Arabidopsis thaliana: one gene and its partner. The main gene of each other region encodes a partner of the protein of the gene in region 2 in a complex. Each region holds a gene or a part of one and is shown on either strand. Other genes may lie near its edges. The genes, in order: NFC5 and AT5G02950.

What was found.
Region 1: AT5G02950 (region 2) and NFC5 share a complex: the UniProt entries of both Arabidopsis thaliana proteins name them as parts of the PRC2 (polycomb repressive complex 2) complex.

Annotation. Positions count from the first base shown.
Region 1 is NC_003075.7:14,558,126-14,564,122, reverse strand, and holds NFC5 (nucleosome/chromatin assembly factor group C5), read left to right. Parts: upstream 1-1,521; 5' UTR 1,522-1,600; coding exon 1,601-1,854; intron 1,855-2,346; coding exon 2,347-2,407; intron 2,408-2,516; coding exon 2,517-2,576; intron 2,577-2,674; coding exon 2,675-2,737; intron 2,738-2,854; coding exon 2,855-2,920; intron 2,921-3,037; coding exon 3,038-3,112; intron 3,113-3,233; coding exon 3,234-3,309; intron 3,310-3,381; coding exon 3,382-3,577; intron 3,578-3,702; coding exon 3,703-3,784; intron 3,785-3,874; coding exon 3,875-3,948; intron 3,949-4,036; coding exon 4,037-4,148; intron 4,149-4,255; coding exon 4,256-4,330; intron 4,331-4,412; coding exon 4,413-4,480; coding exon of another isoform or gene 4,481-4,571; coding exon 4,572-4,671; intron 4,672-4,766; coding exon 4,767-4,868; 3' UTR 4,869-5,196; downstream 5,197-5,997. Other genes in the region: AT4G29735 (uncharacterized protein), read left to right, coding at 1-63, 685-750, 942-1,020, 1,114-1,161. UniProt on the Arabidopsis thaliana protein: Core histone-binding subunit that may target chromatin assembly factors, chromatin remodeling factors and histone deacetylases to their histone substrates in a manner that is regulated by nucleosomal DNA.
Region 2 is NC_003076.8:688,526-693,715, forward strand, and holds AT5G02950 (Tudor/PWWP/MBT superfamily protein), read left to right. Parts: upstream 1-2,159; 5' UTR 2,160-2,283; exon of another isoform or gene 2,284-2,406; 5' UTR 2,407-2,427; coding exon 2,428-4,326; 3' UTR 4,327-4,574; downstream 4,575-5,190. Other genes in the region: AT5G02940 (ion channel POLLUX-like protein, putative (DUF1012)), read right to left, coding at 1-74, 162-247, 370-425, 1,064-1,149; AT5G02960 (Ribosomal protein S12/S23 family protein), read right to left, coding at 4,755-4,895, 4,984-5,110. UniProt on the Arabidopsis thaliana protein: May influence gene expression by regulating the function of the PRC2 complex and modulating H3K27me3 level.

The DNA of each region.
Region 1 (5,997 bases), on a different chromosome or scaffold from region 2:
GTATCCGACTTTATCGGTGTTCACTCTTGCGATTGGTCTCGTCATTACCGCTATCTTCTTCATGTAAGCTAATAATTGATCTGATCTCTAGATCTTCGAAATTGCCCCTTCTTGTTCTCAATTTATATTACTTGATGTCAGATTAGTGAAACAGTTCCTGATAGATTCGATCTACCTATGATTTATCTTGATTTTCATAAAGCTTGATTAGTGTGTGATAGTCATGACTAGGTTCTGAACTATGAATCGTGTGAGGCTCTCCTCTTGTTTGTTCACTGTGTATGAAGCTTGACCAACATTGTTACTGCTTATATATATGGTTTGGTCACAATGCTTTCTCAATTGCTATTCTCTAGAGATAGGTCTTCTAAAGCTCCTGAAGCTACATGTTCATCACTTTCATGATCTCTTTGCTAGATTAATCTGTTGAAATATGTGCCTTTCTTATTACTAAAGTTTCTGGGTAAAAAGTAAGAAAGTCATGGGACTCATCTAGTAACCTTTTGGAAATGTGTGAGCTCTATATACTATCATGATATAAAGACTCAAAATTTATCAATGATAAGGTGATAGTCTATGGAAATGGAATCAGTACTCTAATAGTTTCACTGAATATGACAAAATGACTGATTATCGATTTAGTTAAGATACAAGAAAGTTAGATTTGTATGATTTTCATTTAAGCGTGGAGCATTTACCTTTCAAAGGGTGGCAAGTTTTAGGAGATATGATTCGGTTTGTTAAAGTAATGTGCGTCTGGGCTACGAGAGCATGTGGGTTAGCCTCGAGTCAAAACTTTAAGATAGACTTGAACCATTCATTTTAGCTTCTTTGTAATAAGGTCATATTGGACTCTTTTGGTATTCATTGTGCTGGTTTAGATTCATTCAGCCCAACAAGGAGTGATCAAAACTTACCCTGTCATAACATTTGTGTTGCAGCTATGAAGCTACATCATCCAGGAAAAACCGAAGCGTCGGAAAGGAGCTCGCTACTTCAGCAGTTGCATCTGTCTTCTTGGTATGGATTTTCTTCTTCACCCTCTTGACTTAAGTTTAAGAGTTTTCTTTAAATCTAATGTTTGGTTAAAATCTGTTTCTGTGTTATTTGCAGGGTTTTGGATCGTTGTTTTTGCTACTTGCTAGTGGTGTTTATGTCTGATCCTTCTTCCTCAATACTATTCCCAACTAGTTCAAAGACAAAAAAAACAGATTTATCTTTGTTCAAGTAAAATCAGAGTTATGAATGTTAAGACTTGAGAAGTAGCCTTTAAACACCAAGTTACAATTAAATTATCTTCTTCTTTTGAACGCTAAACCGAGTTTTGGTTTCAATTTTCACCGCCTTTAGAACAGCGTTTGCGTTGTTAAGTTGATCAGTTAGTAACTTTCTACCAAGATTTAGAAGAAAGCTTTACTCAAATTTTGTAATGGGAAGATACTGATTATACTCTTTAGTGTGAAGAAATCATTTTAATTCGCTAATTTAAGTATTTGCCTATTGGGTATTTGCCGGGACGAAGTTTACTCCACGTGGCATAAATAATAATATTATAAAAAAAACAAAGGAGAGTAGAGAGAAAACGAGAGAAAAGAAGGAAATGGAAAGCGAAGCAGCAGCGACTGTTCAAGCCACCAGGCCGAGAAGAGCACCTAGGACTCCGGTGACAGCCATTTTGACGGATAAGAGAAGACGGAAACCTAAGAGCAACAACGAGTCTCAGTTACCATTTTTGCTACAGCAGAGTCAAAAGGCCACCGTTGACGACACTTACTCTCAGTGGAAGACTCTTCTTCCCATTCTCTATGATTCGTTTGTTAATCATACCCTCGTCTGGCCCTCTCTCTCTTGCAGGTCTGTGTTTTTTTTTATAGGTTTTCTGTTTCTAGGGTTTTCGATCTTTGGTTTTGGAGAAAGTTGGTTCTTTTTTGGGAAATAAAAATTCTAGCTTTGTGCTTTTGGTCAGGCGATTGAGTTACATTTCCGTTTCAGCTAGTGAAATACTCATAGATTGAGAGTTTTTCTTAGCTGGTTTCTGGAATTTGTGAGATTAGGACATGTTCTAGTTCGGGTTTTTAATTTAGCTCAGTCTCCATGCTTTTCTGTGTTTCTTTCTCTTTTAGGCTTTTAGCTCATTAGCTATCTGATGTTTCCATTTTTGAACCTCTGGAACTTGTTTTGGTAGGAAAATGATGTCGTTGATAACACTTGACCAACTCGGTTTAGGTGTTCTGTTTTGTTACTTTTTGGTTTCAGATGTTTAGCTGTGCTACGATTTAGTGAAGTGTTTAGCTTTTGTGTAAAGAGGTACGATTTCGTTGTAATCCTGTTGTTTGATTTGAGCAGATGGGGGCCACAGCTTGAGCAAGCAGGTTCTAAGACTCAACGTCTCTATCTCTCGGAACAAGTGAGTTTGCTCTTGTTCTTGTGGTTTGTACATTTTTTCTTGATGAAAAATATCCAAAGTTTGTTTACTGCTCCTTATGTTTACCGTTTTTTCTTGGTTCTGTCATTAGACGAATGGCAGTGTGCCTAATACTTTGGTCATAGCCAATTGCGAAACTGTTAATAGGCAGGTAATTAGTTTTTCTCTACCAAAGCTTGTGCTTTTGTCCTTGTGTTACTCTCTGCTGAGATGAAATTATTGAAATACCGTTTCTTTATATGCTTTCAGCTTAATGAAAAGGCACACTCTCCATTTGTGAAGAAGTACAAGACCATCATCCACCCTGGAGAGGTGTGATATTCCTGTATTCTCATTGTTTTTTCTTAGATGGATTTACTGAATCTGCATTTCGTTTAGGACTTGAGTGCTGAAAAAGATTTTGTTTTGTGTACCCTTCATTCATCGCAGGTCAACAGAATTAGGGAACTCCCTCAAAATAGCAAGATTGTAGCTACTCACACCGACAGTCCTGATGTAAGTTCTGCTTTCTCGGGTCATCAGCGTGACAAAAAAAAGGCTTTCGTTATTCAGTATCCTTGTTTTTGAATAGTTCCAGTTTCAGTCATGCAAGTATGATATATTGGTTTTCAGATTCTCATTTGGAACACTGAGACTCAACCAGACCGGTATGCTGTGCTTGGAGCTCCAGATTCTCGTCCAGATTTGGTATGCTCTTGTGAGAATTTTCGTTATGTTGTCTCACTGAGTTAAACAACCTGCTTGTGCATCATATTAACAATCGAAAGAGCTACTCTTTTTGCATCATTTGAACAACTTTTATTTTCAGTTACTAATTGGGCACCAGGATGATGCTGAATTTGCTCTTGCAATGTGCCCAACCGAACCTTTTGTTCTCTCTGGAGGTTTGTATCAGTTCTATTTTTGTGTCATATCTTGTGGTTTGCAAGTTTCTCATCAAAGATTCTTCCGTGCAGGCAAGGACAAGTCCGTTATTTTGTGGAATATCCAAGACCATATCACAATGGCTGGTTCGGATTCCAAATCCCCTGGATCCAGCTTCAAGCAGACTGGTGAAGGTAGTGATAAAACTGGTGGTCCTTCTGTTGGCCCTCGAGGCATATATAATGGCCACAAAGATACTGTTGAAGACGTGGCATTCTGTCCATCTAGGTAACTTCTTGGGACAGTCTCCTTTTTTAATAAGCTCTTAAGTTTACACCCAAATGCAGACCTACTCAGAATTTTCTGATGCTTTTGGTATAAAAAAATTGGTAATTTTTTGTTTTGTCCTACAGTGCACAAGAATTCTGCAGTGTTGGTGACGATTCTTGCCTTATGCTATGGGACGCAAGAACTGGCACTAGTCCTGCCATGAAGGTACCTCTTTTTTTTAGCCAGATCGACATTTGAGGTTTAACTTTTTGGTCTTGTTTCAGATTCCGTCTGTTTCTTCTTGTGCGCTGGCAGGTTGAGAAGGCACATGATGCTGATCTTCACTGTGTCGATTGGAATCCTCATGACAATAATCTGATCCTGACTGGGTACTGATTTCACAAACTTAAATACTTGTCCAAAAGTACAGAGATGCTACTCGTCCTCTCACTCTACGCTTCTACATCACTTTTCCAGGTCAGCAGATAACACTGTCCGTGTGTTTGACCGCCGAAACCTTACCTCAAATGGAGTTGGTTCACCTGTTTACAAATTTGAAGGCCACAGAGCTGCTGTTCTTTGTGTTCAGGTTTCAACAACATGCCACCACCTCTGTTTTTTTTTTTTGTTTTTTTCTTTTCATATTATTTGTCCTGTAAACCTATCCCCAATGACATTGCTTCGTTATCAATTCAGTGGTCTCCTGATAAATCATCTGTTTTTGGGAGTTCTGCAGAAGATGGTCTCTTGAACATATGGGATTGTGATAGGGTTAGTACAATTTCTCACATTCACATTTAAAACTATTCTCTTACTTTCAAGCTCACCATATTAACATATATGTGTGCACCAGGTTGGCAAGAAGTCTGAGCGTGCAACCAAAACTCCTGATGGGCTTTTCTTCCAGCATGCTGGTCACAGGTTCTCAAGACTTAATTCTAATTCACTTGCTTGCCTTTCCCTTTTACTCTCTTCAGTGGAATCTATAATTTCCTCGTGTATATCTTCTTAGGGACAAAGTGGTCGACTTCCACTGGAGCCTATTGAACCCTTGGACTATTGTCAGTGTTTCTGATAATTGTGAGAGTATCGGTGGAGGTGGTACATTGCAGGTACTTTTAAATGTCTTGCTACATTTACTCTGGAACCTACCTATGATTAACTTTCTCGGTAAAAATGAAAACTTTTGATTTGTAAATTAATGCAGATATGGCGGATGAGTGACTTGATTTACAGACCGGAAGATGAAGTCCTGACAGAGCTAGAGAAATTCAAGTCACATGTTTTCACATGTACCTCCAAGTCTTGAGGAAGCAATCCCATCATGTCTATTAGTATTAGTAAGTTGCTGGGGTTTAGTGTCAGTTTTTGCGAGGAAAATCAGTTTACTTATGCGATTTAGGTGTTATTTTTGCGGAATATTACTTGGTTTATGTAGGCCAGTAATTCAACATATTGGTAGATTTAGGACTTCCGGAATCTTGTATGGTACTTGATCCTGTTTCTTCAGGTTAATCCTAGGCACCTAACTTGCTTGTATTTTCAACTTTTTTTTTTGTGAATCCAAACTTGGTTAAGCAAGACCAAACTAAAACAACAGATTGAATCAGTGAAATCCAAATCTCAAGTGCTTGACATTTGACTCATGTGTCCCTGAACCGTTCAGTTCTACTTCCAACAACAAAAGCAGATAGAAAATCGTCGCTCTTCACCTCTATTCGGTTTCATTTCAAGCAAGATTGGTTCTGCGTAAACCGGGTTGAACCGGATCAACTCATTAGATCTACAAAGGATTTGTGCAATCTTAAGACCTGACATCTATACAAACTTGCAGACAATTGAACTTAATACTCTTGGGATTGTGGGGTGAGGGAGTTAGGTAGCAACATTTGAGGAAATTTATTGCATAATATCTTCTAGTAGATTCTCTCTCTCTCTCTCTCTCTCTCTCTCTCTCTCTCTCTCTCTCTCTCTCTCTCTCTAGTTAAAAACATCTAGGTACTAAGCCTTTCATGGGGTTTTGATTTATCTGACATTAAGTACACTACTCATTTATAGATATAAGACCATCTCATAGGGGCTTCTCTAGGTTTTGTTGGATTCTCATCATTGATTCATTGCAGCTATAACCAAACAAAACCTTCTTTGTCGACGCATACAAACACACACATATATACATAAACACACGTTTTGAGTTTTGTATCATTGTATGTGTATGTGAATATGCCAAACTATTTGTTTGGAAGTGGGGAGACAAATTTGTGGCTCAAGGAGTACTATATCTTCATTGTTCAAGATTTAGTCCTTTTAAAAATCCTAGCCATTAAACCCCTTTTCTGGTCTGCCTCTCTATTGCCCCCTATCGAAATTGTTGTAGTGATGCTACACCATTCAAGCCGATCATTGGTGTTCCTTACAAAGTAATCCAGATGGATCAT
Region 2 (5,190 bases):
TGAAATATCTTTTGCGCTATTCTCAACACCGCATACAGTGGGATGCATCCTATCACAAGTTTATATGGAAGACTCTGCATATTTAATTAAACAAGATTATATTATTATAAGCATATGGAGTGATAACACATTCAGTGATGAAACTCATTCTATAGATTCACCTTATAGAATTTGGAATTTAAATCTTTGAAGTTTTTATTAGGCGGCTCTGTATCTCCTGTCCTTTGAGATTTGACTTTGAAGGTCCCTGTCATATAGAGAGAAAAAAAATACAATTAGCTAATCAAGAATGAGTCTAATTGTGGAAGAACAGCAACAATGAGACCGTAAAGAATTGCATCAAAGTTGGAAAAATATACAGAACCTGACCTCTGAAACTAGAAGACTTAATCCCACCTAAAGGCAGAGAGTGTAAACTCAAGCTCCTGCAAAAAAAGAATCAGAGATACACAACTTGTAAACATCACAACCCAATGAGCTTTGATTGAATGACAATTTCCAGATTTTGAATCAATTTACGATATACCTTTATCTTACAAACCCAAATTCCATTTGAAACTAAACTCTAAACCCAAATTCAGAGCTCCTAACTAAAACCGTCACATTTTCTAATCGAAACCATTGAACTTGGCTACATTTACTGTAAGCAAAACATGAAGTAAAATTCACCGGAAGAAGAAACAACAAAAATAAACTGTGATATATGCCCAAGCAAGTTTTGAAGATAAGGACGAAGAAGACGCTGACGGAACTAGAGGGTTCGGATTATAAAGAAAAGAAGAGAAGACACAGAAATAAACAGAGGCATTGGCATTTCTTTTAGAATATAGAATTTGTTGAGAGGAGTTACTTAGTATTGATCGCTTAAATGATAAATACCGTGTTCTTTAAGTATCTGTATCAGTTGTTTGGAAATAAAGAGCTTGTTTCTAACAAAAACACTCAAAATCTTCTGAGGATCACAAACTTCACAATCATCATCTTATCACTTATGGATAAAGTCACCACCATGCAATTGTTTTCAGAAATATCAAGTATAAGAAAGAAATTACAAAAACAAAACCTGTGAAAAGAAGCTAATCGATCTCTTGTCAAAGCTTGAGAAGGTAGAATCAATGGCTTCCAGGTAAACAACTGAACAGCCACCATCTTTCTTAATCTTCTCCTTGATTTATCTTACGCTCTTTTTGTTTCTCTCCTTATATATGTGGGTGGAGTATGGACACAAGGCTGGTTTTTTAGATTTTTGCGTGATTATTTTGTTGTTGTTATATTGTTTTGGACCATATTAGTTAGCCCGTGGGGTGTTATGAACATAAAAACAAATCGACTAATTTTTTTTTTGGCTTAGAACTTCATTTGAATAGGTAAACAACGCAGAGGAATCGCGTCCATAGAATAGAATATAATAAAAACAAAATGGTACTCTTATCGCTTTGAATTTTAACTACTTTCTCTTATTCCACTCACTATTCACGTTTTTATATACATACATACATATAAGAGTACATGTGCTAATAGCTGTCCAAACAAAAAAAAGAGTACATGTGCTAATAAACGACTATTTTTTAGTACTTTTGTTTCAATCGTTAAAATCTCATCCACAATTTTGAATCTCGAACGTTACTGGCTCCCAAAATATCCTCTCAATGTTGAGACGCCACATGACATAACAATAAAAATGACAAAGACATAACAAGAAAATGGATTTTGCATTTTTTGACCATTGAGAGAGCTAAGCACTTTACACAATAAACGGTGTTATTGTGTTTATATATGAATTGATATATTATTTTGTTAGTCTATGAGGAGTATTTAAAAATATCCCCAAAAGAGGTTTTTCAAAATATCACTTTTTAGTAAAACATACTATTAAACAAGTTTAGAAAACTTATAAAAAAGTGTCTTAATGTTGTAGGAAAACATTTGGTTCTCATTAAACATAAAATTAACAAATTTAATTCTTTAGAAATAAACTAGTTGTAGTAAAATTCTAATCTACTTGTAGTAAAATTCTATTCTATTTAATATCAGTAAAAACAAGTCAAATTCAAGTTCAAATAAAGAGGGAAAAGCAAAAGTTTGAAAATTTTGAACCTCACTCAATGTAATAATGTATGGTTGTGATGAGTCGAGACAAAATCAAGTACTGCCACGTGGAATAATTCGTGACGTACACGTAGCTCTCTCATAAACCCCCTCAAAACGAAAGAAACTCTGTTATTTCTTCATTACCCAAAATCTAAGCTTTCGTCGCCGGCGAAACCGTAACCGCCACCGGAGGTTCTGTCCACCTTTTTTGCTCTCCGATTATTTTCTTCGTCTCTCGTATGATGTACTGTTTTTGCTTTAATGGAAGCATATACTGAAGCAATTTCTGCTTTTTTTTGTTTCTTCGTTGTCTAGGGATTTTTGTTGGTGCTCGTTATGTCTACGGAACCAGAAGGAGTCGAATCTGACTCCAACGCTGATTTTGCCATAAATGCGTCGAGTTTTGACTACGGTATGGCTCACACATCTGAAACCCTAGCTGATCCCATGAGCTTTCAAGCTCAGGACTTGGTAGTGAACCTCACTGGAGTTGAGCGAAAAGTATTTGTCTCTGCTCGTGATGATAAGGATAGTCTCTGTAACGGGGTTGATTTTGATGCTGATTCAGATCTGCTTAAGAACAAGGATAAGAAAGGATTTTCTAAAGAGAATCTGAAGCTTTTTGACTCAGATTTGGTTTGGGCTAAACTAAGAAGTTATCCATGGTGGCCTGGACTGGTCTTTGATAAATCTGTTGCCTCTAAAGCTGCGATGAGGCACTTCAAGAAAGGAAATGTCTTGGTTGCGTATTTTGGGGATTGTACATTTGCTTGGAATAATGCATCTCAGATAAAGCCTTTTCATCAGAATTTCTCTCAAATGCAGGAGCAGAGTAACTCCGCTGAGTTTCGTGATGCTATTGATTGTGCTTTGGATGAGGTTTCAAGGAGAGTAGAGTTTGGTTTATCTTGCTCTTGTGTTTCAGAGGAAGCCTATAACAAACTCAAGACTCAGAACATAATCAATGCTGGAATTCGTGAGGACTCAAGTGTTAGATACGGTGGAGACAAGTTATCGGATGGAATCTCTTTTGAACCTGCTAAACTTGTGGATTATATGAAGCATTTAGCTTGCTTTCCTTGCTATGATGCGACTGAGAAGCTGCAATTTGTGATTAACCGAGCTCAGGTATTGGCTTTTCAACAATGGAAAGACTATTCTCACTTCATTGACTATGAAACATTTGTAAGGTCGGTGGAATCTGCTGCGACCCTGGCTTCTCTCCCAGAAGTAAATATGGATGAAGGAATATCTGCCAAAAAGAGAAAGACAGATTATAAAGATAATGCTGAACAGACAAAGGAGAAGACTTTGTCAGATTTGACTGTAAAGAAACGCTGTGGGAGCAGATCAACTGAGAAATTGGATGGTAAGTCGCATTCTGAAAAGAAGCGTAAGGTTGAGTCTTCGGAATCTGGTAAGTCTGAGAAAAGGATCAAGAAAAGTCAGCAAAAGGAGGATTCAGTGTCTAAACACTCTAATGAGGAAAGTCTTTTGTCAGTGGGTGATACTAATAAACTGCAGAAGACGGCTGAACCGTGTCATGGAACTGGAGTGGAAAATGAGATGAATTCTTTAACTCCTACACTTAAGCCTTGCCGTGCTTCTAAATCTACGGAAGTTGAGAATGAGAAGACTAAGAAGCCGAGACATCAAGAGCTTGCTGAAAGAAAGATTTCTTCTCCTGATGAGATGCTCTCAAGCCTTCACGCTGCCAATACCTCAACGGGAATACCTGATTCAATCAACATAGACCCCTCGAATTATGAAGATTTTGAAAAGTTCATTAATGAACTGTTTTGCAGTAAACTCAATGGTGACTCAAAGAAGGCAAGTATCACTGAGACATCAGAACCTTGTGATAAGAAAGACTCTGCAGAAGAAGAGATATTACCTGCAAATAAAGAAATCACTGGCTCAGGCTCGAAAGAGCAAATTGGTCTCAAGGACTGTTCTGCAGATTCATTACCACCCTATGCTTTAGTCCTCAACTTTGCGGATTCAGGTTCGGTTCCATCTGAAGAAAAGCTGAACGAGATATTTAAACGTTACGGTCCTCTCCATGAGTCTAAGACTAAGGTCACGATGAAGGGTAAGAGAGCCAAAGTTGTGTTCAAAAGAGGGGAAGACGCAAAGACTGCCTTTAGCAGCGCAGGGAAATACAGCATCTTTGGACCTTCTCTTCTAAGTTACAGACTCGAGTATGTTTGCCCCAAACGGAAAAAAACAACATGACTGATTGAGTCACGGCATCTCTTAACTTTCAGAGATTAGGGTCTGATCAGATATCATCAGCTAGGTCTTATGATGAGAGTAGATTTTCGATAAATAAACGTAACCTAGGATTTATGATGAGAGTAGGTTTTCGATAAATAAAAGTAACATTCGTGTGATGAGACTAATTCTTAACTTTATGACATACAAAACCAAAACTGGAAATACCAATGATAACAGTAAAGTTAGTCGCAACTGAAGATGAGGCTTATAAGTTAAAAGAGTAAATTGATTAAACACCAATAACATTAAACGATCATGTCTTAATTCAAAAACTCATAAAATGTAACACAAAATCAAGTTCTTGAAACATAAAGTAGAACAGAACAAGACTTAAACTGAACTATCAAAAACCATATCAAAAGCTTGAAGCTTTTTGTACGGGTTGCTTAAGATCTTGGCTTCTCCTTCTTTTCCTTGAAGAGGGCCAAGAGTGAAACACCAGAAACCTTCACGACCTTGAACCTAACTCCGGGAATATCTCCCACAGCGTGACCCTTACGACCAAATCCAGCAATCAAGACCTCATCCTGCAACACCATAAACAAGAAATGTATCAGCATATGAATGAAACTAATCCATAGTGTGATGATTGAATAGTCATTTCATGTGACTTACGTTTTCCTCGATGTAGTTCAAACAACCATCATTGGGGACAAAGGCAGCAATCTTCTTTCCATTCTTGATAAGCTGAACTCTAGCACACTTACGGATAGCAGAGTTAGGCTGCTTAGCCTCAATACCACTGCATCATCAAACACAAGAGTCTCATCAACGACCAATGTCTCTACTCAACAAATCAATTATAAGAAAAAGTAAACTTGA